Arabidopsis thaliana: one gene and its partners. The protein of the gene in region 1 interacts with the protein of each later gene in a pairwise test. Each region holds a gene or a part of one and is shown in the gene's direction. Other genes may lie near its edges. The genes, in order: GAE5, GPX5, AT1G49230 and AT2G29180.

Region 1 (8,860 bases):
TCTTAGAGTTCTATTGTTATCGGAGATCAATGGATTCACGTTCAACAAAAACTTCGTTTGAGAATATTCTTCTCAATGATTATCAAAAACTCGTTAATTTTAATAATCAAATCAACAACCTTACTATAGCAAAAGTATTTATACTCGTTAAAACGAAAATCATAGATAGGTAAATCTGGAGAATAAGCAACTCCAAACTGTCTTAACACCAAATATATCCATTTATAATTGAAAAAGAAAAGATGATCCTAAAAAACATAATTAAGATAGAACTAAAAATAACTTATGAACCAATATCGAGAAGACAAATTTGCAAAATTAAATAAATAAAATAAGGAACCTAACATATTTGAGAAACGAAGTTGCAAAGATCCACTCCATCAACTAAGCGATCATGAGTACCTGAAAAATTAAATCTAGAGTTATTGGCATCCCACCAAAATCCTATAATATCGTCTGTCTTGTAATTGTTTCGTTGGAGAATCATACTCCATCCATGAAATTGAAAATCTCCATTTGCATCTTCTTGTACAGTAAGAGTTGTTACAATTTTAGTTTCAAAATAAAAAAAGTCCAAATAACCTATGAAACGATTCTTAGGCAGTAAAGGTAACATTTTGGTTTCTACTATCTCTTTTGAAAACGTTATCATATTACTCAAACCCACATCTGATGGTGTTAACGTTATCAAGATGTTGAAAGAGGTGTCTGCATTAAACGGCCTATCTGAATACAGCTCGGTGTCTACCATGAGTTAAAACACAAAGATATATAAAAATATAGGTTTTAAAGTGTTCTTTACTTCTTAGAGATCTAGGTAAAATTTGTGTTAATAAAATTGGTCATGTGCTAAGCATACATATATAATGATAATAATTTGTGTCGAGTGGGTAACTGTAAGACCTTGTCACTATAAGAAGATAAGATTTTATTTAATTATTATCATTGGATTCACTATTAATTGAACTTCATTTCTTGTTGTTCTTTTTTCTTAGACAGAAATTTGAACTTATTAATTTCTCTTAATCAAAGTAACACTAAAGCAATGTTATAGGTTCTTAATTTACAAGAAATTTTGATGACTTTAGTAATATCATATAAAATAAATAAATAAAATATTTTTAATTATTGTTAGAGACTTTTCTATAATCTTGTTAATTAGTTTTTCACAATCTTGTAAAGTTTCTCAAACAATCTTTCTATTTTGATGATACTTTTTATGACTTCATGTTGCGAAGAAAAGTGTAGAAAGTTATAAACAATAACATAATAACTTAATTCATTAACAAACATAGATTCTTTTGTTTGATTGAATAACACAAAACTTTTTATGACTTTATAAAAATATGAATCCAATTACTCCAAATTTACAAAGATTTTAGATCATTATTTACAAATCTTAAAATTAATAACACCAAACTTTATAAGAATCTTGATTGAACAACAACAGATTCTATGTAATATTTTATTAATTCATTAAAACTCTATTTAAATCAGAAAACCTATAACACCCCCTAGTTTTGTCTAATTTTCATAATAATATGACATATGTAGATTTATAGTTAACTGAATTCTAACAATTGTTAAAGTACACCAAATATTTGACATACATTGCTAGTAAAATACAAATAGCTCGAGGAAATGTACGAGCCCACGACCCTTCCAATTATCAAAAGCATTAAATTACAAATAAAGTGAACCTTCAAACTAACTAAGAGAAATATCCAAAAATAATTGCTAGTGTGTTTGATTCTAGACAGAAAATGGAATTTGCTAAAATGTGCTTTGAGAAACTTTATGGTGTAGACACTTCAGAAGCCAAGGAGATGTATAATTCTGTTTATGATGTCATGAAGGCTATGCTGAAGGAGTACACTGTTATTTTCAAGGGACCAAACACACAATCATCTCAGTCTAATCCGCCTTCATCTACTGCTGCCAGAGATATTTTTGCATGTGAGTTAGCTGAAGATAGTAATGTTGAGTTTGAAAGGATGGACAGGTCTTATAAAGAGATGGTTAATGAAATTAGGGTTACTGATCCTAAAGATGAGTTAGATATATATCTGAAGGCAGAGGTAGAAAATCCTAAGACTCTTCCTGGAATGGAGTGGGATGTCTTGTCTTGGTGGAGACTCAATAGTCAGAAGTATCCAGTTTTATCAGAAATTGCAAGAGATGTACTTGCAATGCAAGTGTCATATGTCGCATCTGAAAGTGCTTTTAGCACCAGTGGTCGTCTTTTGGAGCCAAGTAGAAGCTGCCTTACTCATTATATGGTAGAGACTTTGGTTTGCCTTGAGCAGTGGTTGAAAAGTGAAATCAAGCTGAGTGAAAACACTTTTCTAACAAATACACAACTTCTTGCTGATATAGAATTACTTGATAAGCTTGAGAAAGGTAACTTTATCTATGTAGTTTACTAGTTTTAGTTTTAGATGTTGTTTGAAAACTCTCTTATGTTCTAACACAACTTGGGTGTTGATTGAATCTTTTTCAGAGTTTCAAACTGAAGTGAATTTGGACTAAAAGACTAATCAAGGAAACGACTACAAGGTAACTTCATCACTCCATTTTGTTTTCTTTTACTTCTGAACTTGGTTTATAGCTCAATGTTAATATACTAGACTTATGAATCAACGATCATTTCGTATTTGACTTTTACTTGGTTTATGGTTTAATGTTTATTATGGTTTTTTATTTTTCAACTGAGCTTATTTGGTTTTGATGTAACAGGAACAAGTCATGGGGAATCTATCATGTTTGGATGTTGCTTTGGATTTGAACTTCTTTCTTTACTTTGAATGCTTTGGATTCGATTCTAAACGATGTTTTTATGTCTTGCTTTGGATTTGAACTTCTTTCTTCTATTTGAATGGTTTTATTTGGATGTTTTGAATCTTGCTTTTTGGGTTGAACGTATGAAACTTTTATTATGTCATGCTTTATTGATTTTACTTTAAGTTTTTTTTATTACAAATTTACAGGTTTTATGGTATATGTGGTTAGTATCAAGTATGTTCGGGTATATTATAGTAGTTATAAACTAGTATCGAATAATATTCGGTTACTTTTTGGATTTTTCAATGGAAGTACCAATACCTACCCAAACCCAAAATTTACCGGATCGAACCCGAACCGAAGTTTTCAAATACCCGAACGGGGTCTAAAATTATAGTTCCGAAAAATCCGAACCCGAAAAAATCGATCCGAACCCGAACCGAATACCCAAACGCCCAGGACTAGGAGAAAAATACTCCTATCAACCAAATGAGTGTATATCAGACGATGTGTACGGACTAGCTTGATAATTAGTACAAGCGTCAAACAACAATTTTTTGAAATAAATTTAGAATTTTGTGCAATAAAAGCAAATTTCTTTGACCCAGCCGGTTATGCTCTAGTAAAATTAGTTAATGATCGCTAGAAGGACAAAGTCAATCTTGATTTTGATAATATCCTAATCTAACCAGAGTAATTACAAATTAACTGTATATGGCATAACCGATATTTTGGTAGTAATTGATTTGGCTCCTTATTACCATAAAGAAATAGAATTTTATTATAAAGAGATCAATTTTCTGATAGGTTAACTATACTAAGCTGATTAATATCAGTGTTGCGTGATTATATGGTATATTACGATTTGTATATCTTATTAAATGTGGATTATTTCTTAAAGCTTTTACTATGACACTAGGAATATATAACATTAATTTTCGTTTGATGTCGAAAATAATGGTTAGGTGAGATATAACAATCATAAACTAAATTAAAATAATATTTAACTTATCACGAATATTGTTCACATTGCTAACATACTAGCATGTATCCACATAGTATTGTTCACATTATAAGTAGAAAATTCTTATTAAAAAATAAAAAAATCACTACATTTTTTAATGCAATTTTATTGTTTACCTCCTAAAAAACAGATCAATTTCATAAAATAAAAAATAACTCGTAATAAAATTCCTCAAAAATAACCGATTTTGTATTATTTACTTTTTTGTCAATCGATATAAATTAGAACTAAAAAAAGTTAATCCCGAAAGATATTATTTATATATATGACATGATACGATCGATTTTATATCTATTTTTATCATTATTACCCCCGTTATTTCACATTTCTTATAACCTTTTGTTATTGTATAATTTTTCTTTTTATTATCAATCGGAACAAAGAAATACAGAAGTTAAAAGCAAAAGTAGTAAATATTATTAAACAATTATTGCGTGTAAAAATAGTGTATATGTGATCGTGTACAAAAGTACATGCATAACATGATCAATATAGAATGCAATACAACTATACAAATGTCAACAATCTACAAACACGTTTTAACTTTGAAAAGCAATCTAAAATTCATGAATCTAAATATACTCTCTGGCAGCTTTCTTATTACCATATCTTAAAGATTGAACCAAATAAATAAATTTACATCATTAACCAAATTAAACCATCCACATTTAATTTAATTACAACAAGTAAGTAAAAGATCGTCTCTTTCTTCTTTCCCGGAAAATCCTCTCATTTTTGACTTGCTCAATTTTGCTTCCTTAAGACCCAAAAATCCAAACCTAACCCTAATCGACATTTTCTCCGATTTCTAAATCCTCCTCCGGTGAAAATGTCTCACCTTGATGATCTTCCTTCTACTCCCGGAAAGTACAAAACCGATAAAGTTCCACCGTACGGGATTCTCCACCACCACCGTTACCTCCGTCTCTCAAAACTCACCCTTTGGGCTTCTCTCTTCCTCGCTCTCTTCCTCTTCTACCTCGTTTTATCTCCTCCTCCGTCACCATCTCGCCGGAATCTCAACGATTCTTCCTCCATTTCCGCCGCGAAATACGGCGGCTCTCACTGGGAGAAACAAGTCCGTAAATCCGCTCGTCCTAGGTCTCACGGCGGTTTAACGGTATTAGTCACCGGAGCTTCCGGATTCGTCGGTACTCACGTCTCGATCGCGTTACGAAGACGCGGCGATGGTGTTCTAGGTCTCGACAATTTCAATCGATACTACGATCCAAAGCTTAAACGAGCAAGACAAGGCCTTTTAGAAAGATCAGGTGTTTTCGTAGTCGAAGGCGATATAAACGACGCCGTTTTACTCAGAAAGCTCTTTGATGTTGTCCTCTTCACACATGTTATGCATCTCGCTGCTCAAGCTGGTGTGCGTTACGCAATGCAAAACCCTGGCTCATATGTTAACAGTAACATTGCTGGGTTTGTGAATCTATTAGAAGTATCGAAATCAGCGAATCCGCAACCTGCTATAGTCTGGGCTTCCTCTAGCTCTGTTTATGGTCTGAATTCGAAAGTACCCTTTTCGGAGAAAGACCGTACCGATCAACCAGCGAGTTTGTACGCAGCTACGAAGAAAGCAGGTGAAGGAATTGCGCATACTTACAATCACATCTACGGATTATCGTTAACGGGTTTGCGGTTTTTCACTGTCTATGGACCTTGGGGTAGACCAGATATGGCGTATTTCTTCTTTACTAAAGATATTCTTAAAGGGAAGACGATTACTGTGTTTGAATCTCCTGATAAAGGTAGTGTTGCTAGGGACTTCACTTACATTGATGATATTGTAAAAGGTTGTTTAGGTGCGTTAGATACTGCTGAGAAGAGTACTGGTAGTGGTGGTAAGAAGAAAGGTCCTGCTATGTTTAGGATTTATAATTTGGGGAATACTTCTCCTGTTCCTGTTACTAAGCTTGTGACTATATTAGAGAAGCTTTTGAAGATGAAAGCTAAGAAAAAGATCATGCCTCTACCGAGGAATGGGGATGTTGAGTTTACTCATGCCAATATCACGTTAGCGCAAGCAGAGCTCGGTTATAAACCTGCGGTTGATCTTGAGACGGGTTTGAAAAAGTTTGTGAAATGGTATATGGGTTTTTACACTGGCTCGAAGAAGAAGAGTTCTTGGTGAGCTCTGTCTCTCTGCTTAAGTCATGGTCTCTGTTTCCCCTTGTTGAGCTTGGAGTTCGCTCTAGGTTAAGCTTTTGAAACCGAGCACTTGCATTGCCAGGAAAAATCACTTACGTATCTGCATTGTTTCTGTGTTGCTAGATTTTGCTTCATTTATTTGTTAGTAGATTTTGAGCAATGTACAGCTTCATCACTTAGATGTTTCAATTGTCGAAACTCAATTGTCTTTTCCATCATGTCGGAGGAATAAAGTAGCTTGGATTTTGATGCATATACTCTGTAGTAATTCAATCTATTGTCACTTGTTTCTTGTGAATTCAAACATATATTTATTCTTATTCTGACCAATTTTTACATAGCTCTAATCACTTGACTAACGATGATGGTTTGGAAGAACAAATCAAATCACTGCATAATCTTATAACAAGAAACAATGAATGTTCTCTAGCCTGAAGTTTATGTAATATGCCAATAGATTCACAAGATTGTTCTCTAGCCTATACCATGTTATCTTCCTCTGCGCAATCAACCACGACATATGCGATGATGTTATCGACAAGTTCTTGAAGATCCAACACCATCTTCAGTATCGATCTTCCACCAGTCAACACCATCACCAATCTCCACAGGTTCCACCTCTGTTCCATTCTCAATCTCATCATCATAATCAAACTCGTAATCCCAAACACCGCAAGAACCACCTCTCTCTTTCTCCAAAGCAGGATCATAAGTCCACTCCAACTTCTTCAACACATCTCTATCCTTCCACTTCCCCACAACTTTCTCAACTTCCTTCTTCGCCTTCCCCATCGTCACTTCCTTCCACGAATACGCAACATCCGCTACTCGCTTCAGCGCACCTTCGTTCGAATCTCCAATCACAACCGTCCTCAAACACCTCTCCTTAGCTTCCCACAAAATCCCCGCAAAATCAGAATCATCAGACACTAAAACAACACACTCCACTTCTCTCTTATCCATCACTTCAACCAAATGTTCCTTCAACGCCTTATCAGCAGCATCTGGCTTATCACTAACCATCTTCACCCAAAAACCAGCTCGTTTCAGCTCATCAGCTAAACCGTAACCTTCCTTCGGAGTCAAAACATTCCTCGCCGCTCTTTTATACTTCTCAATCTTCATCGAATACTTAGCCACAAGTCTCACTCTTCGATGTCCTTTCGAAGATTCAATCTGTCTCATACGTTTCTGATTCTCTGTCTCATGAATCTGCTTGAAATGATTAATTAGCTTCTCGTTAGTGTAGAATCTCCGGTCACAAACACCGCAGAAGTAAGGCTCCGGTGGTTTAACTAAACCTTTGTTCTCTAATTTGTTTAGCAATTTCCTATCTTTCCTCTGTTCTCGAACTTCTAAAGGAACGTAGCTAAAGGCGTGACGATTCGCATACGCCATCATTAGCTTCACGGTTCCGAAAGACGACGCGGCGGTTCGGAGCTTGACGGCGGCGTCGTAAGGCGGGAAAGAGGCTGGTGGTTTGTTGTCTAGATCCCACCAAACCCCTACTCGGATTTTGGGTTTAGGGTTTATCGAGCTAGAGCTAAAGCTAAAACCTTTGATTGAATTGAGAGATGTGGTTTGGGTTTTAGGTCTCCAACTTTTTAGGACAAATCTTGAAAACATCGCCGGGATCTTTAAAATCGACGGAGAAGATGGGGGCTTCAAAAAACCCGGTTTACATTACATACCCGACCCGGATCCGATTAGAGTTCGGCGATTCTCATGTAAGTTCAATCTGGAGCAAAGAAGAAGACGAATTGAAATACAAAATATAACACCTATAACCCTGAACTTTGTAAATGTTACAATTTTCTTCCTTAACTTTATTAGGGAACAAAACACACCACTGTTCATAGAAAATTATCAAATTTCTACTGCATTAGGTTATTACTGTTATTGTTTTGAATACAGTAAAAGATAAAAACAAATAAATAATGAGCGACTAAATTTTAAAAGAGCAAAATGTGTAAATAATAGAAAGCACATTGGTTTAATCCCAAAACCCAACCAAAGTTTTCTTCCAAAAGTGTAATAACTTGAAACATACAGAGAACTCTTGCTTTGTCTTACAAACTTATACAAAAAGTCAAGAGAAACCAAAACAGATCAAAGAAACCCAAAAGTAAAAAGATTTAAACAACAAAAGAGGTAATAAATAAATAAAGAACACTAAACCAATTGTCTGGAGATAAAACCACCACCGTGAACCAAAACCAATGTACAGTAACACAATGTGAAAACCACACAAGACTGATAAACTTCACCAGCGAGTTGAACTAATATGAGGTTGTTCAATGATGAACTCAGTAACTGAATGGTGTCTGTGGGTAAAGGCGGATCGTTGGAGCTTCCGGAACTTTCTGGAAATGTCGGTGATTGATCTGAAGATGAGCTTCCAGAGTCTTGAGGCATATTGTTGTTACGGTCGTCCTTCTCCTCATCACTCTTCTTCTTGCTCTGGCTGCTACCGTCTGTGCCATCTGCGCCGCCTTTTGGAATGCTTTTAACCACTTCGGGTCGTGGTTCTACTCCTACCCGCCTTAAGTGTAGCTGAAAACATAAGAGTGAGATTCATCATAAGAATATAATGTTTTGATGCAGTAACATGATGTTCCTTTACCAAGCAATAAAACCGGTTTGATTGGAAAAAAAAATCCCTTCAACGGTATGAAATCTAAAAAATAGGTAGAGAAGTTTCAAGTTTCTTTAAAAGTTCATAATTTCTTGAAAAGAGCCTTAGGAGTATATAAATTCGGCTGTCGAAACTGAGTATATGTATACTTCAAATTTGGCTTTAGATACTGAGTAGATATGTACCTGTAGATGCAAATTGACTTCGTCGGGCCGTGATAGGAATGGGAAATCTCCTCCACTCTTTAAGTAAGCTCTCCTTGC
Region 2 (8,624 bases), on another chromosome or scaffold:
TATTGATATACAATGCTCACATCAAAGTGAGAAACATGAAACCCCTTTGAATCCTGATATCGTTGATTCATCTGCAAATAAGTCCCCCGGTTTATGCTCGAGTTTGGATATGACAACAACAGTGGTACCTGCTCAATCTCCTCACCAACACAAAATCCAGGAGTATGATTCTAGTGACCATTCATTGGTCATTGTTGGAGATTCTCTTAATGGAAAATGTGAGAAAATTGATTACTGTATGACTCAGGTTGTTCAGTCCCAAGCCTTAGAACCGCCGCCTCCATTGTTCTGTTCAGTGGTCAATTATCAGGAGGTTGAAAACCTGCAGGAGACTGAAAATACTCTTTGGAAAGAAAACCAAGGAAGTCCCGGTAAAGAACTTGATAGTGACAAACAAGCTCACATGATACAGAATCCAGTACTCTCTGCTACTGAAAGTGAAATGATCGTAGATGATGCGGAACCTCAGTATGAAACTGTATATAGTCACTGTGCAGATGCTGTGGAGAACAGAGAGCTGGAAAAGAGGTGAGTCTACTGATTTTGTCTCTACTCCTATACTAACCTCTGATTCTATGTTGTTTCCTTTTTTGATTTTCCTTATTAGAAAAACTTTTCTAATTACAATCATGTGTTCAATTTCTAACCACATTGGAATATTTTATGCATGGAGTCCTCATAGGCAGATTGATGTAGAACATGACTAGGAATCTATCTATTCACTTTTTGACATAAAATTCCATTTCTTTGTTATTTCTTTCTTTCTTTGTAATTTGCATTTTCCTTTTACAGTTGAAGATTCCCAGTTCCTATTTAAATTTTCTCTTGCTTTGAAAGTCTATGTAGAGGATATGCATATTGAGTTTAAGCAAAACATCAATTAGATTAAGTTTCTTCAGACTTTATCTTGGTCAAGTTTTTCCAATTCACGGAACTGGTTGACTAACAGTATGGTATGTCTGTGTGCATTGGCAGTTGTGAGGTTGATGAGCAGAAGGAGCAGATGCAAGCCACCAATTCTATCTCAGTATCTGAGAACTTTTCACGTGAAAAATTGAATTCATCTCCTGCAAGGGGTACTCCAAATTGCAACTCAGTATGCCGAATTTCTACCGCAGAAAGTGAAAATGCTATGCAGAACAACAGTTATTACAGCACCAATGTTCAGTATGGTGAGAACAAATCATTAAATGTTGACACTGTCAAAGAAGAAAGCAAAGTTGAAACAGGCACAACTCAGGTGAAGAAAGTTGTTAGTTCTGATGTGCAATGCACTGTTGAGTCTTTTGAGACTGCACTTGACTCATTGGTGAGGACAAAGGAGACCATTGGCCGAGCAACTCGCTTGGCTATGGACTTGGCGAAATTTGGCGTTTCAGCAAAGGTATGAAACGTTCTCTCTGCTTGTGATCTTGTCTTATCTGTTTGTGGATGCCACATGTTAATTAGAGGTGGAATCCAATCGGAGACAAATTTCTTCTTATAGATTGTTAAAACATTGTACCTGGATCTGTCCCATGCTATATACCTATTTGCATTTATCAAATAGTTAATTGCGAGAACATGTCAAATTGTCAATACCAACTTTATGTATTACTACGAATTAGAGAAACACCTTATATATATTGTTTTGTCTACTGATTTTAGGATGCTGTAGGCATCCAGCCACTCTTTTCAAGCAAAGGACTAGGGCAATCCTTATTATCTTATCTTACCGTTTTAATGTGGAAAGGGACTTTTTGCACGGTGCTTTTGTGTAATTTATAAAACACTATTTTGCAGACTTTTGTCTAATGTTGTTAATGATGCTCTAAGAATCTCTATGTCTAAAATTAGGCGATGGAAATTCTGGCCCACACTTTGGAAAGTGAGTCAAATTTACAAAGGAGGGTGGATTTATTTTTCCTTGTGGATTCTATTGCTCAGTGCTCCAAAGGTTTGAATGGTGAGTATGCTGTTTTTGCTTAGTTGCATCATTGATGTTCTCAATGGCGAGTTAACTTTGTGAATACTACCTTTCTATTCAGGTGATGCTGGTGGTGTTTATCTTTCATCCATTCAGGCTATGCTACCTCGCCTATTAACTGCTGCTGTCCCAGCTGGAGCTACCACACAAGAAAACCGAAAACAGTGCTTGAAGGTATGCGATTTTAGTTAGATATTCTTTTTCTTATGAATACTAACTCTCACCCTTTCTGCTCTTATATAGGTTTTGAGGCTTTGGCTTGAAAGACGGATCCTTCCTGAATCTATAGTTCGTCACCATATAAGAGAACTTGATTCGCTTAGTAATGTTCCTGCTTGCCTCTATTCTCGGCGATCCGCTCGAACAGAAAGGGCGCTGGATGACCCTGTTAGAGATATGGAGGGTATACTGGTGGATGAATATGGAAGGTGAGAGTTGAGTCTAATCAGTTTTGGGATCTTGATTTCTTTATCTCTAGGGTCATAACTTTTTTCACCTTTTTGTTTCAGTAATTCAACTCTCCAGCTTCATGGATTCTGCATACCTCCAATACTTAGGGATGAAGACGAAGGAAGTGACTCGGATGGGGGTGATTTTGAGTCTGTCACCCCTGAACACGAGTCAAGAAGCCTTGAAGAACATGTCACACCGTCCATTACCGAAAGGCATACCCGTATACTGGAAGATGTTGATGGTGAGCTTGAAATGGAAGACGTGGCTCCACCTTGGGAAGGTGGAAGCAGTGCTAGTGCGATCACAGATCAAGCTGATAATAGAGAGTCTGCAAATTGTCTGCTTGTCCCTGGAACTTCACATCAGAATGTTACCTCGTCATCTCCACCAGCTCGCCCTTCGCAGAATGCTCAGTTGGCAATGTCTAATTCCTACTCAAATGGCTTTGACTACCGCAGAAATCCCAGCATGCAGGTGCGTCCTTTTTCTTCTTTTAGAATCTTTTGCAGTTAACAAAGTGAGGATTCAGACATAGTTAATAACTTAATTTGTGGTTAATATTCAAGGGCGACTATCATGCCGGTCCTCCAAGGATGAATCCCCCAATGCATTACGGAAGTCCTGAACCATCTTATAGTTCCCGAGTATCTTTGTCAAAAAGCATGCCACGTGGGGAGGGTTCTAACTTCCAGCATAGGCCATATCCATCTTCTCATCCCCCACCTCCTCCGCCATCACATCATTATTCATATATGGAGCCGGACCACCATATAAAGTCGCGGAGAGAAGGTCTATCATACCCTCACAGATCTCATTACACACTGGAATTTGACGAAAGGAATTATCAAGACAGCTATGAGAGAATGAGGCCTGAACCATGCGAGAATCGAGACAATTGGAGATATCATCCGCCCTCTTCTCATGGTGGACTCCGATACCTTTTTTTTTTTTTTCCTTATAATTCTCATGCATGCTAATAGGCATATATGAATGCATATATGAATGCATATCTGCGCACACAAGCACTTGCTCATGGATGCTAATAGGCGTGAATGCTTTTCTTTTTTTTATATTGCAGGTCCACGATATCATGACAGACACAAAGGACCTCATCAATCGAGCTCATACAGTGGGCATCACCGTGACTCAGGAAGGTTGCAGAACAATAGGTGGAGTGATTCTCCGCGTGCATATAACAATAGACACTCTTATCACTATAAGCAGCATTCGGAAGGTCCTGTTCCAGTAGGAATGAGAGGTAATATGGAAATTCATACTTGTTCCACGTCATGAATCAGAGCCTTTTCTTATACTGGAATTGTTTCCTAGGTTTAGAAACTCTGACATTTTCTTTTGACTGGGGATTTTATATCATTAGGTCTCTGAGATTCGAGATTGTTTTGCTTGTCCTGTGGGTATATCTTGAATATAAAAATGAACTTGGAGTATGTTTGTGGATATGCAGATCCAGGGACGTGGCATCAAAGGTGAGTGGGAGACAAGAGATGAAGAAGGGCAAAGGTGCAGTCTGCTCTAAATGAAAGACATTTGGGCTATAGTCATGGAAAAGAAGAAATAGGGAGAAACAAGTGTAGGTTGGAAAGACCTGGGCCACTTGAGAGAGATGTTAATATACAAAAGAAAAAAGGCACAGTTGGTGTGTGTACATATGACCAAAAACGTCGTGGAGAAGGCTAAAGAAACAGTCGTGAAAAGCCATTTGTTGTAGTAGAGAGAGAGAGATTTGAGTTAGGCAATACTGTCACTGATTTAGGCATTTGATATTTTGTAAACAAAATTTTTTGGTTTATTTTTGGGGAGTGGTGGTAATACACACTAATATGCATTTCTGTCACCTGGAGAGATGAGATGTCTCTAAAAAATGGTCAAAGAGGCGATTAATTAGTTAAATAGCAAATGGAAAAAACAATTAGGGATGGGTTTGTTTGTTACCAAGGAATTAACATAACAGCTGTAATGCTGCTGCGAGATAAAATGAACAATGAAGAAGCGGAGACCTGTTGACTTCAAATAATTTTAATTAGTTTCTTCTGTGCGATAGAGATCGATCGAGAGATGGGTGCTTCATCATCATCATCTGTGTCGGAGAAATCAATCCATCAATTCACCGTCAAGGTTTTCTAATTTATGAATCCCTTTTCTTCATTGTTTGTTTATCTGATGAATGAATGCGTTTCTGACTTGTTTGTCTGATCTATCGGAAATTAGGATAGCTCCGGCAAGGAGGTTGACCTAAGCGTGTATCAAGGGAAAGTGCTGCTCGTCGTCAACGTCGCTTCTAAATGGTCCGTCAGATCCTCCGATCATCTTCTCTCTAGTTAATTATTATTTCTTGATTCTAAATTTTTTGTTAACAAACAATTTGGGGAACAGCGGATTCACGGAGTCCAATTACACCCAGCTGACGGAACTTTACCGGAAATATAAAGATCAAGGTCAGACCATACAAGAATATTAGAATAGGAATGTATATATTCCTTTCTAATAAAGAAGACTCTTCTTCTTTTGCTTTCCCTTGTTACTTCATCGTTTATGTAAGATTTTTTGTTTTGGTTTCCTTTGGATCATCATCAGGTTTTGTGGTATTGGCGTTTCCTTGCAACCAGTTTCTGTCCCAAGAGCCTGGCACCAGCGAAGAGGCTCATCAATTTGCTTGTACTCGCTTTAAGGCTGAATACCCTGTTTTCCAAAAGGTACCTCAACAAACAAGACACTTTTCTTCTTCATATGCCTTTAATAGGTAGCTGATTTTGTAAGTTTATAACTAAGCATGAATGATCATGATCATCTATGTGTGTGTGTAGGTGCGTGTAAATGGACAAAACGCTGCACCAGTCTACAAATTCCTCAAATCTAAGAAACCCTCTTTTCTTGGAAGTCGTATCAAATGGAACTTCACCAAGTTCTTGGTCGGCAAAGATGGTCAAGTCATTGATCGTTATGGCACAACTGTTTCACCTCTATCCATCCAGGTCTCTAACTCTCTTGTTCTTCATATTCTATTATAAAATCATATCACTCTTTTATGGCTTACTTCATGTTTGTTTTCTGCATAACAGAAAGACATCGAGAAAGCCCTTGCACAAGAATTGTGAACACGCACAGAGATATTTGACTCCTTTGGAAGAAACTTCTCTCATACTCTCGGTCATGCAGTCAAGTTTCTACATTTCCCATTGCACCTTCCATATGGGCCTTGTATTCATCTTATGTGTAACTCTACTAGCCATTTCTTTTGTGAAATTTGATCAAAGGTGATTCCAATAAGTTGATTTGAACCCATAAAAAAAAGAAAAAAAAAAACTAATTCCAACAAATACAAACCACCAGCTAAGCTAAAGATTAGACGAAATCAGCAAGATCAAAATAAAACATCAATGATTTTCACTCAAGAGAACGCCTATAACAACGTCTTAGGATACCAAAAGACATTTTAGTCTATCTATCACTCTCACCATTTACTTTTTATGGTGCAAATTACTCAGTTTCGACGATAATTAATGTTTAAATCTGTCTCATGTGTTCAATGAGAACTTCTTTCCATCTGTAATGTATCGATTATAAGTGGCGTATCACTCTCACGTGCGCTGTTTGTGAAACGTGGCAGACAATTGAAGAAATAGAGAGTACAAAGGAGAAAAAAGGAGTACTTAAAAGGAGACCTTGACCACTCTTTCATGCATCCATCCTTCTTCTTTCTTGTCTTATCAGTTTCTTTTGCTTTTGTTAGAGATTAGTCAAACTACTGATATTATTAACATTAACCATTTTTATGGCTTTATTTTGTGAACAAACGACCCACCTATCCCATAATCACTAATTAGACATTACAACTAGTGTACTGTCTTTTCCATTTTATTTTTTCTCTGTGTATTATATTTACATTTTTTCTTCTTCTTCGATTAGCACTGGGTATCCCGTCAAGAGTTTTCAAAACCGAAGATAGGGACCAATACCAACTACTCCCGAAAGTGAGCAAGCCCCGAGCTTTCCTCCATGAGTCTACGTGACCCGAACAAAGCTACTTAGTTTGGAGATTTGTGTAGAGCCCCGTCCTTTAGGTTCTGGCTCAACTACCATTGCACTGCCTTTTATTTGCATCGTTTTTGCTATGGTGCTTAATACATTCAAGGGCTTTGGTGTAGCCATTTCGGTGCTTTAGTTGAGGCATAGTGAGAAATTTAGGGAAATTATACAATGAAAGCATACAATTTTCTTCTTTAACAACACAATGAAATTAGAAACGGAAACCCTCTTAATTAATAGTTTAACTGATACCAATTTGGATCAATTCCAAAGCTTATAGTCAATGGCATGAAATGAGTGATGTGGTGGGATGAACGTAACATTCATGCTAAACTCGTAAGCAAATCCATAATTAAGAAGTTGATCGTGATTTATTTAATTACATTTCCTAACTACCAAATTAGAGATATTTAATCATTCCATTCGCACCTAACACACAGCAAGACATAAAGACCCACAAACCACAGGCTCCATCATTAAGACTCATGTGTGCATGAACAGAAGTTTTCTGTTCAAACAATATCCTCACCGCAAAATCAAATTTGAAAACATGATAAGCTTTTTCGAAAAAAGGAAAAAAAAAATGATACCAAATTGTTTCGAACATTTAATCAATGATAGAAACTAAACATAAGGTTTTAGTTCAAAAGCGAAGCTAATGGTGAAAGCATCATGCCTTTTCTTCACACTTAGAAACATGTAGGTCCTCCATATTATTCAGTTCAATAATGTATCTTAATTTTATCCTATATTTGCATTTTAGATTATATCTACCAAATTATCTCTACACTATGTGCCAAATTATTTGAATCGAGTTCGAGTCAGCATGTATACTAGTATATAAGCAATCTATCTCTCTAGCAGCCAAACACACACACACGAATAGTTTACTTTGAAAATTTCTCGATATATAGGATCTCAATGGCAGGGACAGTAGTATTGAGATGCTGCACTAGTGTAACCAAGGTTAGGACATGGAAAAGATGTTCGAAGCAGATAAAGGAGCAAAGGGCTCGTCTTTACATCATCTGGAAATGTGCTGTCTTTCTTCTCTCCTCCCATGATTGATCCATATACATATGATATAATCAATCACCAAATTCCTTTCTTCTTGGTTATGTATTAGTTCAGTTCCAAACTAATTAACTAGCTATTTAATTAAACGTATATACCATAATGTAAATTTTTAATTGTAATCATCGAAAATATCGATACCTACTGTCATTTGGTCATCAATCGGAAGTTCTGTTTTGTAAATAGAGATACTAATAAGAACAAAAAAGACCACAATATGGTGTTGTCTTCTTGATTGGTGCTAAAAACATTTGCCTTGATAAACAAAAAGTTCAAAAACGATGCGCGTGGTTTAAACTTGCTCTTAACACGCGTGGTGATCTTGTAGTTCTGGTCTTTCAGGGTTTAAAGGCATATTTCTTTCTCACGCTCCGGCGAAAAACCCTAATTTCTGCTAAGATCAAATCAGGAATGGTGCTCAGAAACTTAACCATTTCTTACGAAATCATCAAATCTCTGAAACATGCCAAAGAACATAGTTTAGGGATTCAAATCCGATGGATCTCGAGCCTGAAAGTGGTATGGAAGAAAGACACGAGGCTAGACGAAGCCATCGAGCAGGACAAGCGTTACAAGCTCTGTGCTCGGGTTGTGAAAGAAGTCCTGAACGAGCCAGGTCAAGTCATTCCTCTCAGATACCTCGAAAAACGGCGCGAGAGGCTACGTCTCACTTTCAAAGCTAAGAGCTTTGTTGAAATGAACCCTTCCCTGTTCGAGATCTACTACGATCGGATCAAACCCAAGTCCGATCCCGTCCAATTCCTCCGCCCCACGCCTCGTCTCAGAGCTTTCCTCGACGAAGAGCAGAGGATTTACTCTGAGAATGAGCCTTTACTTGTTTCCAAGCTCTGCCAATTGCTGATGATGGCTAAAGATAAGGTTATCAGTGCAGATAAACTGGTTCATGTGAAGAGAGATTTCGGATTTCCGAACGATTTTCTGATGAAATTGGTTCAGAAATACCCTAATTACTTCAGGCTAACCGGTTTACCTGAAGAAGGTAAGTCCTTTCTTGAGCTAGTCTCTTGGAACCCTGATTTCGCCAAATCGAAGATTGAGCTGAGAGCAGAAGACGAGACCCTTA
Region 3 (7,770 bases), on another chromosome or scaffold:
AGTTTCGTCGACATACCGTTATAAAGCAAAAGAGCTGCTACACAATAGGCTCTGCCTATTCATCCTAGCACATACCGAAGTTCTCTACATTATCATGACAAGAAAAGATATTTAGTAGGAACGATGAACAAATAGATATTTAGTACGAACGTTGAATAAATAGATATTTACTCAACAGATATTTAGCAGGAACGATGAACAACTAGATATTTACTTAACAGATATTTAGTAGGAAAAGTACTTAAAAGTACACCGAGAGACAAACACTGAGAATAGGCGTTCAAGAGTAAATGATTAAAGAATAGGTTCCACCAAAGAAATTCATAGATTGAAAATCAATAATGGTACATGCATAACTAAAAAAACAGGATTAAAGCTCTGTGTTTCAGTATTTCCAGTTTCTTGCAAAAGTGAGCTCTACTTATAACGTTCCTGAAATTTTTTTAATGACACTTTAAAACCCATTGGATCCAAACTCTTACTTGAGTATTCCAGAAATATTCCAATTCTCATGTTATTTCACCTCAAGAGAACCATATACATGCAGACATTTAGATACTTGGGAATTATCAGAATAAAATTTGCAAATACTACCCAGACTTAAACATATAATAACGTTAATCAAATAGAATCTAGCTTATCAAGACTCAACACAGGACAAAAATGATAAAACAAAGTTTTATAATTTAAAGTCGGGCATAAATAAATGATTTCCAAATTTAATGTTGGAAAAGTGATAGTCCCTATACACAAGCATCTTAGGGTTGGAGGAGGTATGGGCCAATGGCACAATCAGCACTCAAGTCTCATTTGAAGAAAAAAAAAACTAAAAAGAAGAAACCCCACTTTCTTAGAAAAATAGTATTAGATAAAATACTCAGTCCCCACAGTAATCAGTAAGCATCTCGAGCTATATTTAAGACAACTTTGAATTCCTCAGAACTTAAGAAGCAATAACCAAAGAAAGCCAACAAAGCATAGAGAAGCGACTTTGACCTTAAGCTTTCTCAAAGAGTAAAAATGTCTGCAAATGAGTTACCTTCTTCAGCTCAAGCCTTCCAAGAACAATTCCTTGGCGGTTTTGTCTCTAGAAAGCTGCTTCTGCACAACCCATTTGACCACAACACTCAACGAGCCTTTGCGGTTGCACCATCTCCTCTCATAACCCATGAGAACAACCTCAGTGGGAATGTTATGATGCTTCTCTCAATCCTCATTTGTGGCATTATCTGCTGCCTCGGGTTACATTACATCATTCGTTGTGCACTCAGACGTTCTACACGTTTCATGATCTCCGAGCCTGTACCAAGTCTTTCGTCAACACGGGGTTCATCAAACAAAGGAATCAAGAAGAAAGCTCTTAGAATGTTCCCAGTTGTGAGTTACTCACCTGAGATGAACCTGCCAGGGCTTGACGAAGAGTGTGTCATTTGTTTGTCTGATTTTGTTTCCGGTGAACAGCTCAGGCTGCTCCCCAAGTGTAACCACGGGTTCCATGTTCGTTGCATAGACAAGTGGCTTCAACAACATCTGACTTGTCCAAAATGCAGAAACTGTCTGGTTGAGACGTGCCAAAAGATATTAGGTGACTTCAGTCAAGCTGATTCAGTTACGGCAGAACCAACAGAGATCGTAATTGTCACGATTGTTCCTCTAGAACCAACAGAGATCGTAATTGTCACGATTGCTCCTCTAGAACCAACAGAGATCGTTATTGTCATGATTGCTCCGCTAGAACCTGAAGGAAGAGTAAACACTATTAGAGAAATCAGCTAGATGCAAAGAAAGACAGAAACCATCAGCAATTCAGAATTTGTACTTCTAATTTTTTTATGACTTTCTTTTTACCTGTAGCACAAAGTGTATACAGAGTGATTATGTTTCATTTTCAGTAGCATCTCATGAGTCCATCAAACTTCCTTTGTAAAACTATTTTTACGGTGGAATGTGAATTTTGCAATCTTATCCAAAAACATCAAGATTCATCTGATAACCAAAGATTGATAAGTGCTGGTCGTATATTCTTATGTGTCATATCAGTACACTGAACCAAAACGTCACTAGACAGAATAAATGGTTTCCCAATAACTAATGCCAAGAGTTAGTTGTGTGAAGAAGCAGTGTGTAGTCTACCATATGGAATTATGGTCCAGACCTGGTCCCATGTACTCTTGATAATGACAAAAGCACAAAGTTTGTGAAACAAAATTACATCTATCTACATGAATCAACCCACTTAATAATTAATCTATATGCCTCAAAACCGATCCACACGCATAAGTCATCAAAATAGCAATTACCATGAACAAGACAAAAAAGATAAAAAGATATTAGTAAGAACTATGAACAAATAGATATTTACTTGACAGAAAGAAATTATTAAGTAGGGAGAATGATCAAATAAATATTTACTTTACAGATATTTAGTAGGAAGAATGACCAAAAAGATATTTTATAGATATTTAGCAGGAACTAAGAACAAATATATATTTAATCAAAAGTTCACCAAAAGATGAACACTGAGAAATGGCGCCAAAGAGTAAATGATTAAAGAATAGGTTCCACCAAAGAAAGTCAATAATGGTACATAAATGATTAAAAGACAGGACTAAAGCTCTGTGTTTCAGTATTTCAACTTTCTAGCCAAAGAGAACTATAATTAAAATGTTTCTGAAACTTTTCTTATGGCTCTTAACACCCACTGGATCCAAAACCATTTCCAAATCATAAATGCATCCAGCAAAAATGTTCTCAGAAATATTTCAAATTCTCACCAAGTTGCGTTATTTCACCTTAAGTCGTGTCGTGTGATTTCACCTCGATATGTTGGTAACATTTCACTTCCATCATTCAAAAAAAAAAACGGTGAATGACCAATTTTAGTTTGGATGATCTTTCTGTCTGTTCAGATTTCTCATCTTCATCCATGTTACCCCTGCAGTTTTAAAGTGAATGAGTATCAAATTAAGATATTCCCAACAAACGAATCATTATAGCATATAACACAACAAAAGTAAAGTTTATTTGCTTTAAAGAAGGTACCAAGAAAACAGACCACTATATATATTTGTACCAGTTATATGTAACCTAATGGCACAGACAAAAGAAAAAAGGAATCCATTTCCGAGTGAGACTGGTGAGAAAAGATAGAAAAGATGCATCTCCTACTGTGTAACATCAACTTTTTATCCCAAAGATACACAATCTTCCCTAATCTAATGTTTCACTAAACCAGCTATTAGGAAAGTAGCAAGAAACAATGTTATACAAAAGCACATATCAAAGAATCTTGCTTTGATTTTGGAGCTACAAGAAAAACATTAGATACTAGATTCATGTAGATTTCCCTCGCAATTTGCAACCAATGGAAGAAGATATCTCATAAAGCAAACAAAAAGAATCATTTTTTATTCGTTCATCCGTGGGACCAATTCCTTTACCTCTGATTTAAAACAAAGGCATGTAAAGATAAAGAGAGAGAGAGAAACTGTTTACTGAAAAAAAAGCAGGAGGTGGATACTAATGCTATGAGAGTGATAAAAGTAGCCTTTAACAAGATTGATTGGGAGAGGCTTTGTCCTTTTGGCTACTCTATGGACAACTTGAGTTACTACGAATGGGGTGGATTCCTGTTCCCCAAACATAAGTAGAGTTCACTAAATGGAAATATTTCATCCGTACACTCTCAAAACCGCACAAAATCAACAAAACTTTTAAGATTCCACCACTGTTAAAAAATAGCAAAAAGGGAAAGAAAAGAAAAGTTAAATCAAACCTTGCTTTATATATGAGAAACTCCTTTACAGGTTAGACACATATGTGATATATCACTGGGTCAGAACTATCTACCGAAACTCGGTTTTCATCAAGACCATAAGTAGAAAACATATATTATAAGCCCTAACAGGCTAATATCAAGGAACAGTGAGATATCAGTAAAATGAGCCAGGAGATATTAATATTTGAATGCTGCTATATCAAAGATAGGGAAAGTTCATGGCTGCTCCAGTTAAAAAGCTCATGGGTCCCTAGAAGCAATTCTGGGAGATATGATTTGCTAAGGCCACAGCCACATGGCACTACTATTGCAGCAACTGGTATGATGGACCCATTTTATATAACAAAGCATATTACGCTGCAAATGATTTTATAAAATTAGACACTAAAGGTAAAGGTCCATAATGTGAGCTTGATCTTTATAGCTTCTTATTCATCCAACCATAAGTTTTTCTAAATGAAATATATAAAAAAAAATTCCTCATTAAATATCTGAAAAAAAATTGAAACTTTACCTTTCCTCTATATAAACAATTAGCCTCCAAACCTTTACTCTATATAAACAACCTCCAACGGAAACACAGAAAGCCACCAATCTATCTTAAAACTAAGTTATCATGTGCACTACCATTTCCATTTCCATTTCCACCATAAAACCAACTGAGATCTTTCAAGAAATTCTTGGAAGTTCTTACTCAAGAAAATTACTATTTCATACCCATGATCAATCACCAACTCCAGCACCATCCCCATATGTAGGCGATAACAACTTTGATGCAAATGTTGTTATGGTCCTATCAGTCCTCTTATGTGCACTTGTTTGCTCACTTGGACTCAATTCTATAATAAGATGTGCCTTGAGGTGCTCCAATTTAGTACCATCTGAAGCTGGTGGTGACAACTATCCTGTTCGCTTGACCAACACAGGAGTCAAACGAAAAGCCTTGAAGAGTTTCCAGACAGTAAGTTACTCTACTGAACTAAATCTGCCTGGCTTAGATACCGAGTGTGCTATCTGTCTCTCGGAATTTGTAGCCGAGGAACGTGTGAAGCTGTTGCCGACATGCCACCATGGATTCCATGTCCGTTGTATAGACAAGTGGCTTAGTTCACACTCGTCCTGTCCCACCTGCAGGCACTGCCTCATCCAGACATGCGAGAAGATTGCCGACTGCAGCCAAACAAGCTCGTTAAACTCTACTCAACCACCACAAGACAGCATCATTCTCCAAATAGCACCACTAGAACCGGAAAGATGGATACGCTGGTTTAGGTGAACTAGAACTAGTCACCTAGATATTTGTAGCAGCTATGATTAAACTACTATGTTTTAGAATTATTTGAGATTACAAGCGGTCTACACTTAAAAACAAGTTTAGCATTTCAACTGTAAAGTTGTAAATATTACGAGAATGTTACTTTCTTCATATCTTGAACTACTAAATGTTTATATTTCACAGTTACAAGCCAATAAAGGAAAATTTCATTAGATCTGCAAATACTCACACTGGAAAACAAAACATAAACAATTCAAAAATCAAATGTACAGGATGATGAGAAGGAAAATCACTGAAAGGCTTAAAGCAATAGTTTAGTGGAGGTGGCCAATACACTTAGTCAACTAAAGAGAGATGTCATAATCTTTACCATTATGAAGTTTCAAGGTTATTAAAGTCAGGCTCTGCCACTAGCTTATTTTACTGATTATCATAAGGGTTACTACACTTTTATATAAATCATACAATAACATAATGTACCCTTCCAGAGGTAGAAGAGTCTTCTTGCTTTGTTATTGAACAAATTAAGTTGTAGGCTGTGACAATGCGAAGCCCCGGAGAAAAATGTCAAGGCCCACAAATGAGAGAAACATGCAATAATATAATCCATCGAAAGGAGAACAAGAGAGAGAGGTCACCACCATAAGAAACAGCACAAAGCGAATGGGGTCCGAGGACGAATCCCACCATATGGTCAAATCAAATAATACTAAAAGGGGAGGTTCAATGTTATACTGACCACATGAAGAAAATGAGTGACCACAATAATTCAACAACCGGCATTTACCAAGATCAATTTCATAGATAATGGATTATGAAGAGCTGCAATATCAATTACTTAGAAGTAGAACTTTAAAAAAAGCAGTACGTGTAACAGTACTTTACTGACTAGCTAAAGAGAGATCCTTAGTAGTAATCTAGAAACTCCCATCAATATGGTCACTAATCTCCAAATAAAGAAATTGATAAACAAGTTATGAGGTGGACGAACGAAATTGTAAACCCTAGATACCAAAATGGGGAAACTTTGCATCAACCAAATGAGATTATCTTCTGAACTAATTACGTATCGGGATTAAACAATGAACAAGAAGAAGTAAACAAGAGTACATGAAATTGAAAAAATCAAGTTTCGCTCCAATCAAATTGACAATAAGGAGACAAAGATACGAAGTTCAAATGAAGCTGTACGAAAATACCCAGAAAACTATGTGAAAAATGGGGAATTTTCTTACCGTATTCGTTGATGAAGATCTGCTGAAGACGACGAAGTAGCAATGTTCAGAGATTGTTCGCTTTGTTGGCGCCAATGATTTTCAGAAATTCTCTCTTGAAACCAATATCGGATCTTCCATAGTTTCCACTCGGGTCGGCTTTTAACGGGCCCATTTATATAAAGCCCATTTAGCATTTTTCCTAAATCGGGTGTTTTTCTTATATCAAAATAGAAAGGGATTTTTTAAAATATCTCTTTGTTGGTTATAGTTTATAAACATTTGGTTTAACAAGTTATAATGAATGTGGTGAGCCACTCATTACAAGAAATTATTTACAACCACATGAGAAAAGAAAAAAACACATAGGCTATTAATGGAGGCAGCGGACAAAACGGTCTAATTTATCTGCGGTTTAGTCCATTTCATTTTTGGGATGGATAATAAACCGTTGCGGAGCAAGTTTATTTGTATGTAAAAATAGTTCGCAGATGGTCCGCTGCGGGTTTTTTCTTTTTTTTTTTGTTTGGACCACTGCGGACTATAATTGATGAATGAAAAATAAAAAGCGGTTTGATCCATTGACGGTTGTGTCCGCCCCAACCGCCGTAACCATTCACAACCCATGTTGTAAAACCAAGAATAACAAAAAAGATTGTTAATTGACTTTTTCCGATATTATATCAAAACGTGGCCGGTCATATAACTTATATATATGTATTATTATATATCAATGGAGTGTCAGTTTAATATAGTCATGATCATGAGTAATGTAGTTTCATAATGATGGGGCACAACGTTCTTAAGGGTAGTACTACCAACTCAATTTTCTCTCGGCATGTGCTGTACACATGGTTCATAAAGTTGACTTTTGGATTTCCATCTCACAACAGCTATTTCTTTTCCGGTTTTCTACCGGTTTGCTCCGGTTAGTGGACCAACGTTAAAAGTTTAGTTATGACAGTTTCTTGGGTTCTACACATCTTTTGATTTCTATTTACCCTCGTAACAAAAATAGAAGATTTTGTAGTTTTCTTTTAATGGTACCTACCTCATGTGGATTGTAACTACCTTTTGTTGGATTCATTATTGTAGGTACATATATTTGTGGTTTATATCCATCCACTCTCTTATATAGATCAAAAATATATAACTAAAAAATAAATTTTATCCCCAAAATGTAATTTAACCGAATATTTGATTATTTTCTAATCCGATTTTTAAATTATATTTGAATAATTTTGGTTCTTCGGTTAGATTCGGGTAGTTTAATTTTGGCTAGGTTATCGATGGAAACTAGTTTAAATTTGGTAAAAAACGGTATAATTGTGGTATAATCTGGTTATAAACAACATATAATTTAGTTAACTGATAAGTGATAACTGAACTAAAGCAAAATACTTGGTTAATTGAAGTAAAATTCAAATTTAACCAATCTGTTAAGGACATGTAACTTTTCAAAGCGAACAGCTAAAATCTTGGTTCGGCCCAATTTGGTTATT
Region 4 (7,488 bases), on another chromosome or scaffold:
TAAAGGAGTTGCTATGAACCATGGACAGACAGAATTAACCCTTATGTTATCCCTTGCCCACTCGCATGCTAAGTTTTTTGCTAGCTGATTCATAGCTCCTACAACGCGTAGATATATGTACAATACTCATTTATATGTTAGCCTCAGAACGTAAAAGGATCATTAATAGTTTGAGTATATATTAAAGTATATATAAACCTTTAGTTGCTCCATAGATGGAACCAACATTGATATGTACAACCCCTGCAGTAGAGGACATGAGCACGATGCTCCCTGAACCAGATGCTTTCAACAAAGGATGCGCGAGCTGTGAGAGATGAAAAGCTGAGTCGAGATTTGTAGCCATCAGAAATGAGTAATCTTGTGCTGTATACTCTGTGGTCGGCTTTGTTATACCCGTTCCCGCATTGTTTACCTATATATTTATAATAGACCCAAAGCAACCACAATACTGTAGAACTTTGAACTCTCAAAGTTGTTAAGGATCGGACAACACAGATTTTACTCTGTTTTGTCTTACTCTATATTTCACTCTGTTTTTATAAAACGAAAACCACACACTTTTATTACATATACAAACTGTATTTATAGGTTTACATGACACACTTTGACTAAGGGACACGTCTCTAGAAGACAACCTAATGTAGAGACACATACACACATGTAACTGTTTTGTAGTTAACAATTATATTTGTATCTCTTCGATGTGTGATACGAATATATATAAACCAGTTACTTCACTATATAATATATCTCTTCTAAAATAAGATGATGACTTGATCACTTCCAACACTCCTCCTTGATCATGGCTTCATCGTTACGTCTAGCTCTTCTCGTAGAACTTCGAACCTTGATGTGATAAAGAGTTCCGCCTCGGTCGTTGATTGAGCAACGTTCTTCTGTTTGCTAGAATTCCAACAAAATGCACCTGATCCAGAAGTAAAGACATAGCCACTTGTATTTTTCTTGTCCTCAACTGATCTGCTCCAATTGCTTGGTCTCTCCACAACTTGCCACGTCTTGTTCTTTTCTATCATCATCAACTCTTCTCTCATGTCTTCTATCCACTTCACGTCATTCATTGCTCCCTCCAAATTTTGATCTATTTGAGCGTTTAGATCATTCCCTCCTCCTTGTTCTTCTTTTTCTTTGAATGCCGCATACACTTCTTCTCTAGATTTTTTCCAACGAATTGGAAAACTTCTATCCATCATCTTGATGTCCAAGATCTTCTTTCCTTTTAAGTCTTGAATCACACACTTGTTGTCTTCAAAGATGACTCGATATCCGTTGGATATCATTTGAGAGACACTAAGCAAATTTCTTGCTAGTTCGGGTACATAAAGTACATCTTTGATGACATGATCTCCTTTGTTTGTGGATACTCTTATATCTCCTCTGCCTTCAGACACGACCTTTCGACCATTACCAATCCTTATGGTAATTTTCTTGTTGCGGTCCAAAGTGATGAAGTGTCTAACATCTTTAGACATGTGATTGGTACATCCGCTATCTACCAACCACGTTTCTTCTCCAATTGTTGAGATCTCTTTTTCTTCAACAGCACTAAAGAGAATATGACACTCATCTTCTTCTTCATCTTCTGATTCTTCACTACTTAGATGTGCTCTTTCACCTTTTTTAAGTTTCCAATCTCTGGCTATGTGTCCTGGCTTGTCGCACACATAGCATCTTCTTTCATAGCTTCCACCTCTTTGTGAAATGCTTTCACTCTTCTTTCTGAAACAGTCTACCTCATTGTGATTGTTCCTCTTACACACGCTGCACCACATGTTGGTCTTCCCATGGCGATTTTTGTTTGCTTGTTTTCTGCTCTTGAGCCAAGCTTTTCTCCATAAAACGCACCCTCATTGATACGTTCTTCTCGGAGACTCAAGCGCTTCTCATGCGCATTCAAAGTACCTATCATCTCTGTCATAGAGAAAGTTGATAGATCCTTTGTTTGTTCAAGGACCGCAACGATGCTATCAAACTGTTGCGGTAAGGAGATAAGAACCTTTTGAACCAATTGGTAATCGGTTTTCTCTTCACCATGAACTCTTAGTTGATTACTCATATTAATCAACTTGGTTGTGAAATCATTTATGTTTTCACTCTCCTCCATCTTCAGATTCTCATATTCTCTTCTCAAGGTCTGAAGATTAATCATCTTTACTTGTGAACTTCCTTGGAACTCCATCTATTCTCTTGCGCTTGATGCCGGAGCGATTCTCGGAAATATTGAATCAGAAACTGCACTTTGAAGAATCTGAAGAGCCATCATATCCTTCATCACTTGATCATCACGCTCTCTAGTTAACGCCGGTGAGTTTTCAGACGACGAACTCAACGTAATTCCATTTTCGATAACATCCCACAACTTCCTTGTTTTCAAGATGGTTATCATCTTGATTTTCCAAAAGCCATACGATTCACCATTGAAGATTGGAATAACTTGCTGCATTGTTGTCTCCATAGCTCTGATACCATGTAGAACTTTGAACTCTCAAAGTTGTTAAGGATCGGACAACACAGATTTTACTCTGTTTTGTCTTACTCTATATTTCACTCTGTTTTTATAAAACGAAAACCACACACTTTTATTACATATACAAACTGTATTTATAGGTTTACATGACACACTTTGACTAAGGGACACGTCTCTAGAAGACAACCTAATGTAGAGACACATACACACATGTAACTGTTTTGTAGTTAACAATTATATTTGTATCTCTTCGATGTGTGATACGAATATATATAAACCAGTTACTTCACTATATAATATATCTCTTCTAAAATAAGATGATGACTTGATCACTTCCAACAAATACACAACAAAAAAATCACTTGATCTTGCTCAAAACCTTATGCATTATGCTCTTATACATAAACTTACAAGGATGTTGAGTTTTCCTTGGAAGATAGAGGCAACGTTTTCCATGAGTTTCTCTCGTTGGTCACGAGAAGAAACGTCGCATACAGAAGTGGTGACCTCAAACCCTTTAGCTTGCCATTCACGTACGCATTCTTGAAGCTGAGTTTCGTTTCTAGCACATGTGTGGACTCTTGCTCCTAACATGGCTAGTTCCTCCACCACAGCTTCCCTATTCATAACACAGTTGTATACATATTGACACGTGCAAATATGTAATATGACATATTAATGTATTCAATATTGGATTAGTAGGGGGACTGACCCGAGGCCTTTGGAGCCACCGGTAACGAGAGCGGTCATGCCTCCAAGGCTCCATCTACATTTGTCTCTCAAGTTTTCTTCTGCTTTAGCCATTTCTGGATACTATTTTCTTCAATGAAGGTCACATATTTAAGGCCAAGAGGTGGAAGACTAGTCGTGAGGGTGGCCAAAGATACTTTTACGTGAATTGTTTAACTTTGTCCTTTGAAACCCCTGTCTGAATGTCTTAGCCACCTCTGATTATGAGCCACAGACCCAAAGATATTTTCTTGGAGATCTGAATTTATGGTTGAGAAAAATTCATAATGAATGAATGAATGATAATAATGAGTAATGACGTTCGTACACAGTAAGGCCTTTTGATGTTTTTCTTAGGTTACTCAAAATAATGGGCCTCGATTAAGGGTTAAGCCCCAACTACATGGGATCGACTCATGTTTCATTGTTTGAGAAAAACTAAAGACCCCATGTAACATGGGTTGAGCTCTGTTCTGCTCTAGCCATTGTTGTGTAATGATGTATTTTGATGAGAAATGATAATGAAAAATGGCTATTTATGATGAATTAATGATACGAGGCTATGAGATTGTTTGAAGAAATTGAGGAAAGCTAACGTATCTCTTGACGTTGTGACTGTTGTGGTGGGTAGAAAAATTAGAGATCAAAGTAAACAATCTTAAGACTGTAGTTTAGTGATGATGGCGTAACTAATGATGCATAATCAAAAACTAATAGAAATATAAGGCCCACGAAAATAATATATTGGGCTTTTCTTGGCCCATCAATAATCTGTTCTCAATCTCAAGAAAACATGAACCGTTGGATGTAACCAAACAGAAGTGGGTTATGTCCAGAATCTGAAGAGATCAGAGAGTGTGGGAGTGGACGGAAAGATGTCTGCGACAACAACACCATCTCTATCTCTTTCAAATTTCAGACCAAGATTCCAAACTCCAGTTAAAGGCCACCATATATCTCCACTCTCTTGGTCTGTTTCAAGAAGAAAGATCTTGTCTTTTAGGGTTCTTCGTCTTCACCAAGAAAAAACCCAACTATGGAGAGTCTCTGCAACTCCGGAAGAAATTTCCCAAGAGATCGTTTCTTCTGATTCATCTTCTTCTTCTGGAGCAGTTGTGTCTAGTGGTGGACAAGATGGTGTTGCTTTGATTATACAAGTGCTTCTCTTTGTTGCATTTCTTGCTCTCACGGTTCTCACCATTGGTGTAAGTGTTATCCACAAAACCAATCTTATCCATAAACTATGTCAAATCAAAATACAGAACCAAACCTGAAGCCCGGTTTGTGAGTCTCTAAACCGGTTTTATTTCATTACAGGTTGTGTACATTGGAGTGACTGAGTTTCTTGGGAAGAGGGAGAGAGAGAAGTTTGAGAAAGACGAGGCAGCAAAGAAGTCTAAGAAAGGTGGGAAGAAGAAGGCAATGAGAGCCAGAGCTGGACCAAGAGGTTTTGGTCAGAAGATTGAAGATGATGACATCGACATTGATCTTGAGTGATTTTGTGTGTAGTAGAGAGACAAAGATTGATTTTGTTTGTAATGTTGCTCAGTGATTGTCACATCTATGATATGTTTCTTGTGTACCAAGCAACTTGATGGTCGATATAACAAAAATATTGCAATATTACAGAAACGAAAGAGTTACTAGTGAAATAGGAAACAAGAGTTTGATGAAACAAATTACATAGATGGAGAAAAAACTCTAAACACTAGGATTGTCCTAAAAGCATGAACATATTCTCACTTCTACACATTTGGCAATGAAAAAGCCATTCTCTTTCGTGTAAAGGAAACCCTAAAATCCTCACCATACCTCAGCCCACCTTTACACCATTCTCTGCATATTTCCTCTCTTACTCATCAGCCTAAAGTGGGATGTTTGGTTCTATGTATAGAAAAACCGTAAGCAACTACACAATTTTACAGATTTGCAGAGAAAACAAAGCTCTCCTTCACAATTTTCCCGCAGATTATTTCCGGTTTAGATTTTACCTAATTCTCAAAACGCTATGGCAGAGCCATCCACCCTAGTTAAGCTGTACAACACTTGCGGCCTTACGCCATCTGAGGCTGGGTTAGGGACTGCAAAGCCATCCTCCTCTCTGTATATGAGAAAAAACCCACTTAGAGACATTGACACGCAATATATTGTCTTTCTTTCTCCAATCCTTATAGAAGTCTCTTCAATCAAGTAAGATGATACAAATAAAACGAAGTGAAGACAATTTGAAAGGTTTATAGCAGGTAAAGGTCGAAACTTTGGAGCCAAAGAACATATTAAACATACCTCCAGCAGCAACGAGTTTTTCAACACGAGCAACGATATGCTTTCCATAAGTGTATTTCTTTAAAGCATTGAGATGCACTTTAATACGACCAAGGATCAGCTCACGCTGTTGGTCATCACATGTCTCTAAAACTTTTTGCACTACATAGTTGGCAAACTGATCCTTCATCATCGCCTAAATACAAAAGATGAAGAAGCTTATGAGCTAATAGTTTCTTTATTTTCTCCAACAATCATCTGAAAGTATGTGTTTGACAAACCTGAAGAGGCTCGTTTTCATCAGTTGTGCCCAGCATCTCATTTACCAGAAATTCCCGTTCCTCTGGCCCTCCAAAAGTCAAACATTTCTCAACAACGTTTGAAGCAAACTTCTGTTGGCTCATCTGAACAATCTTCCCCGCTAATTCCTTGATAATCACAGTACGCTCATCAGGCTTTCCGTGTTCCAATACATGCTGTCAACAAAACGTGTATTAGTTTTTAAGCAACCTATACAAAATAACCAGTTGTAGTATAACTCTTTTTTAACAAACCTGAATAACATAGTTTCCATACTGATCTTGGGCCAGCATACTAATAGTTGACATGATTTCATCCATAACCTTACTCTGAGTATCAGGGTCATGGCAGTGCTCCAATACCCTCTGCAACATAAGACGAGAAGTGTTTTACTTAGAAGCATAAGATCAAGAACTGTGTAATTTTTCTTTATTACTAAGAGCAAGAACCTGAATAACTCGGCACCCATATGGGTGAGTGGAGAGGGTCACAACATTGCCAAAGAAGGTGGAAATAATAAATTCGATGTTTTCTTCAGGCACACATTCAATACACTTTTGAACCACATGGTTCCCATTCTGATCACGTACGCATCGCATCACATGTCCATCGAGTTCTTTCACCATTTTAATTTTCTGGTCTAGATCAACCACCTCAATTGCCTAAAAGGATAAACATAACAAAACTCTTAACTGTCCTGGATCGAAGATAAGACTTATAAACATAGCAAACCATTTTGAGAATCGAAGATAGACTTAAAGAGAAGAGTAAAACATACCTTCTGAATAACACGACAACCATACATCTGTAGGCTAAGAGGCAAAACATTGTCAAAGAGTTTATCTGCCAATTCTCTTCTCTGTGGTGGGAGTCCATGCTCAAAGAACTGTAGGAAGATAAGCAAAATTCAGGAATCTCTTATCTCAACTCTAAAATAAAACCAAAGAGGAAGACTAAATAAATCTACCTTCTGAATCACATAGTTTCCAAAAACGTCAGTCATCAGGGCAAGAGCGTGTGGCATGATCTCCTCATAAACCATGTTTTTCTCATCACTTGTTGCTGTCTCGAGTTTCTGCTGAATAAACCGGCTTCCATACTGATCCGAACTGGTCATGAAAATCCCCAAGTACACGTTAGCTTGGGACAAATTGTACACAAGAAAAAAGATAAAAGACATTCAAGGGAATACCTGAACTCTACAACATGGCCAGCTATTTCAGCAAGTTCGAATCCTCTTGTTTTGTTACTTTTGAACTCTTCAAGCATTGAAGATCCAAAGCCTTCATCCAAACTAGCATCCATGTGCCAGGAACCCATTACCCCTCCTGCGTAGTTTCTTGTTGCAGAGGGATATCGCATATTAACTTCACCTCGTCTCATAGGGCTACAGGGTGACACAAGAGAATTAGGCAGAAGATGATGAGCCAATGGGCTGCCAGGATATGACCCAAATGTTGGACTCCCATAATCGGTGTGGCTGTTAGGGCTCCCGGATTTGTAAGGGACACCGTACTGTGATTTCTGTGCTCCAAGATAAGCCCTCTGGAGTTCAAGCATATTCATGTATGAATTACCCATAAAGTTCACGTCCATGGAAGGATCATTGAGAAGATCAAGCGAATCAGCATACTGATGATACATTGGATCTGCCATATGTGACTGAAGACCAGTACCTCCTCCCATCATTCGATTACTGAATCTGC

What was found.
Region 2: the proteins of GAE5 (region 1) and GPX5 interact in a protein complementation assay, tested with the Arabidopsis thaliana proteins (one large-scale study listed by BioGRID).
Region 3: the proteins of GAE5 (region 1) and AT1G49230 interact in a protein complementation assay, tested with the Arabidopsis thaliana proteins (one large-scale study listed by BioGRID).
Region 4: the proteins of GAE5 (region 1) and AT2G29180 interact in a protein complementation assay, tested with the Arabidopsis thaliana proteins (one large-scale study listed by BioGRID).

What each region holds. Positions count from the first base shown.
Region 1 is NC_003075.7:7,286,623-7,295,482, reverse strand, and holds GAE5 (UDP-D-glucuronate 4-epimerase 5), read left to right. Parts: upstream 1-4,362; 5' UTR 4,363-4,634; coding exon 4,635-5,945; 3' UTR 5,946-6,291; downstream 6,292-8,860. Other genes in the region: AT4G12240 (zinc finger (C2H2 type) family protein), read right to left, coding at 6,494-7,588; AT4G12230 (alpha/beta-Hydrolases superfamily protein), read right to left, coding at 8,135-8,515, 8,783-8,860. UniProt on the Arabidopsis thaliana protein: Involved in the synthesis of the negatively charged monosaccharide that forms the backbone of pectic cell wall components.
Region 2 is NC_003074.8:23,305,666-23,314,289, forward strand, and holds GPX5 (glutathione peroxidase 5), read left to right. Parts: upstream 1-4,071; 5' UTR 4,072-4,495; coding exon 4,496-4,555; intron 4,556-4,648; coding exon 4,649-4,725; intron 4,726-4,813; coding exon 4,814-4,875; intron 4,876-5,014; coding exon 5,015-5,133; intron 5,134-5,244; coding exon 5,245-5,412; intron 5,413-5,499; coding exon 5,500-5,535; 3' UTR 5,536-5,732; downstream 5,733-8,624. Other genes in the region: AT3G63070 (Tudor/PWWP/MBT domain-containing protein), read left to right, coding at 1-528, 976-1,384, 1,837-1,945, 2,028-2,140, 2,210-2,394, 2,476-2,893, 2,986-3,343, 3,498-3,677 and 1 more; RTFL14 (ROTUNDIFOLIA like 14), read left to right, coding at 7,388-7,534; AT3G63090 (Ubiquitin carboxyl-terminal hydrolase family protein), read left to right, coding at 7,952-8,624. UniProt on the Arabidopsis thaliana protein: May constitute a glutathione peroxidase-like protective system against oxidative stresses.
Region 3 is NC_003070.9:18,204,926-18,212,695, forward strand, and holds AT1G49230 (RING/U-box superfamily protein), read left to right. Parts: upstream 1-4,268; 5' UTR 4,269-4,394; coding exon 4,395-5,054; 3' UTR 5,055-5,252; downstream 5,253-7,770. Other genes in the region: AT1G49220 (RING/U-box superfamily protein), read left to right, coding at 1,021-1,776; AT1G49225 (uncharacterized protein), read right to left, coding at 1,387-1,530, 1,614-1,738, 2,865-2,935, 3,693-3,727, 4,220-4,222.
Region 4 is NC_003071.7:12,538,989-12,546,476, forward strand, and holds AT2G29180 (uncharacterized protein), read left to right. Parts: upstream 1-3,944; 5' UTR 3,945-4,092; coding exon 4,093-4,422; intron 4,423-4,534; coding exon 4,535-4,714; 3' UTR 4,715-4,847; downstream 4,848-7,488. Other genes in the region: AT2G29170 (NAD(P)-binding Rossmann-fold superfamily protein), read right to left, coding at 2,876-3,107, 3,201-3,292; PUM2 (pumilio 2), read right to left, coding at 5,272-5,318, 5,504-5,678, 5,764-5,958, 6,037-6,147, 6,232-6,444, 6,561-6,668, 6,750-6,891, 6,975-7,488.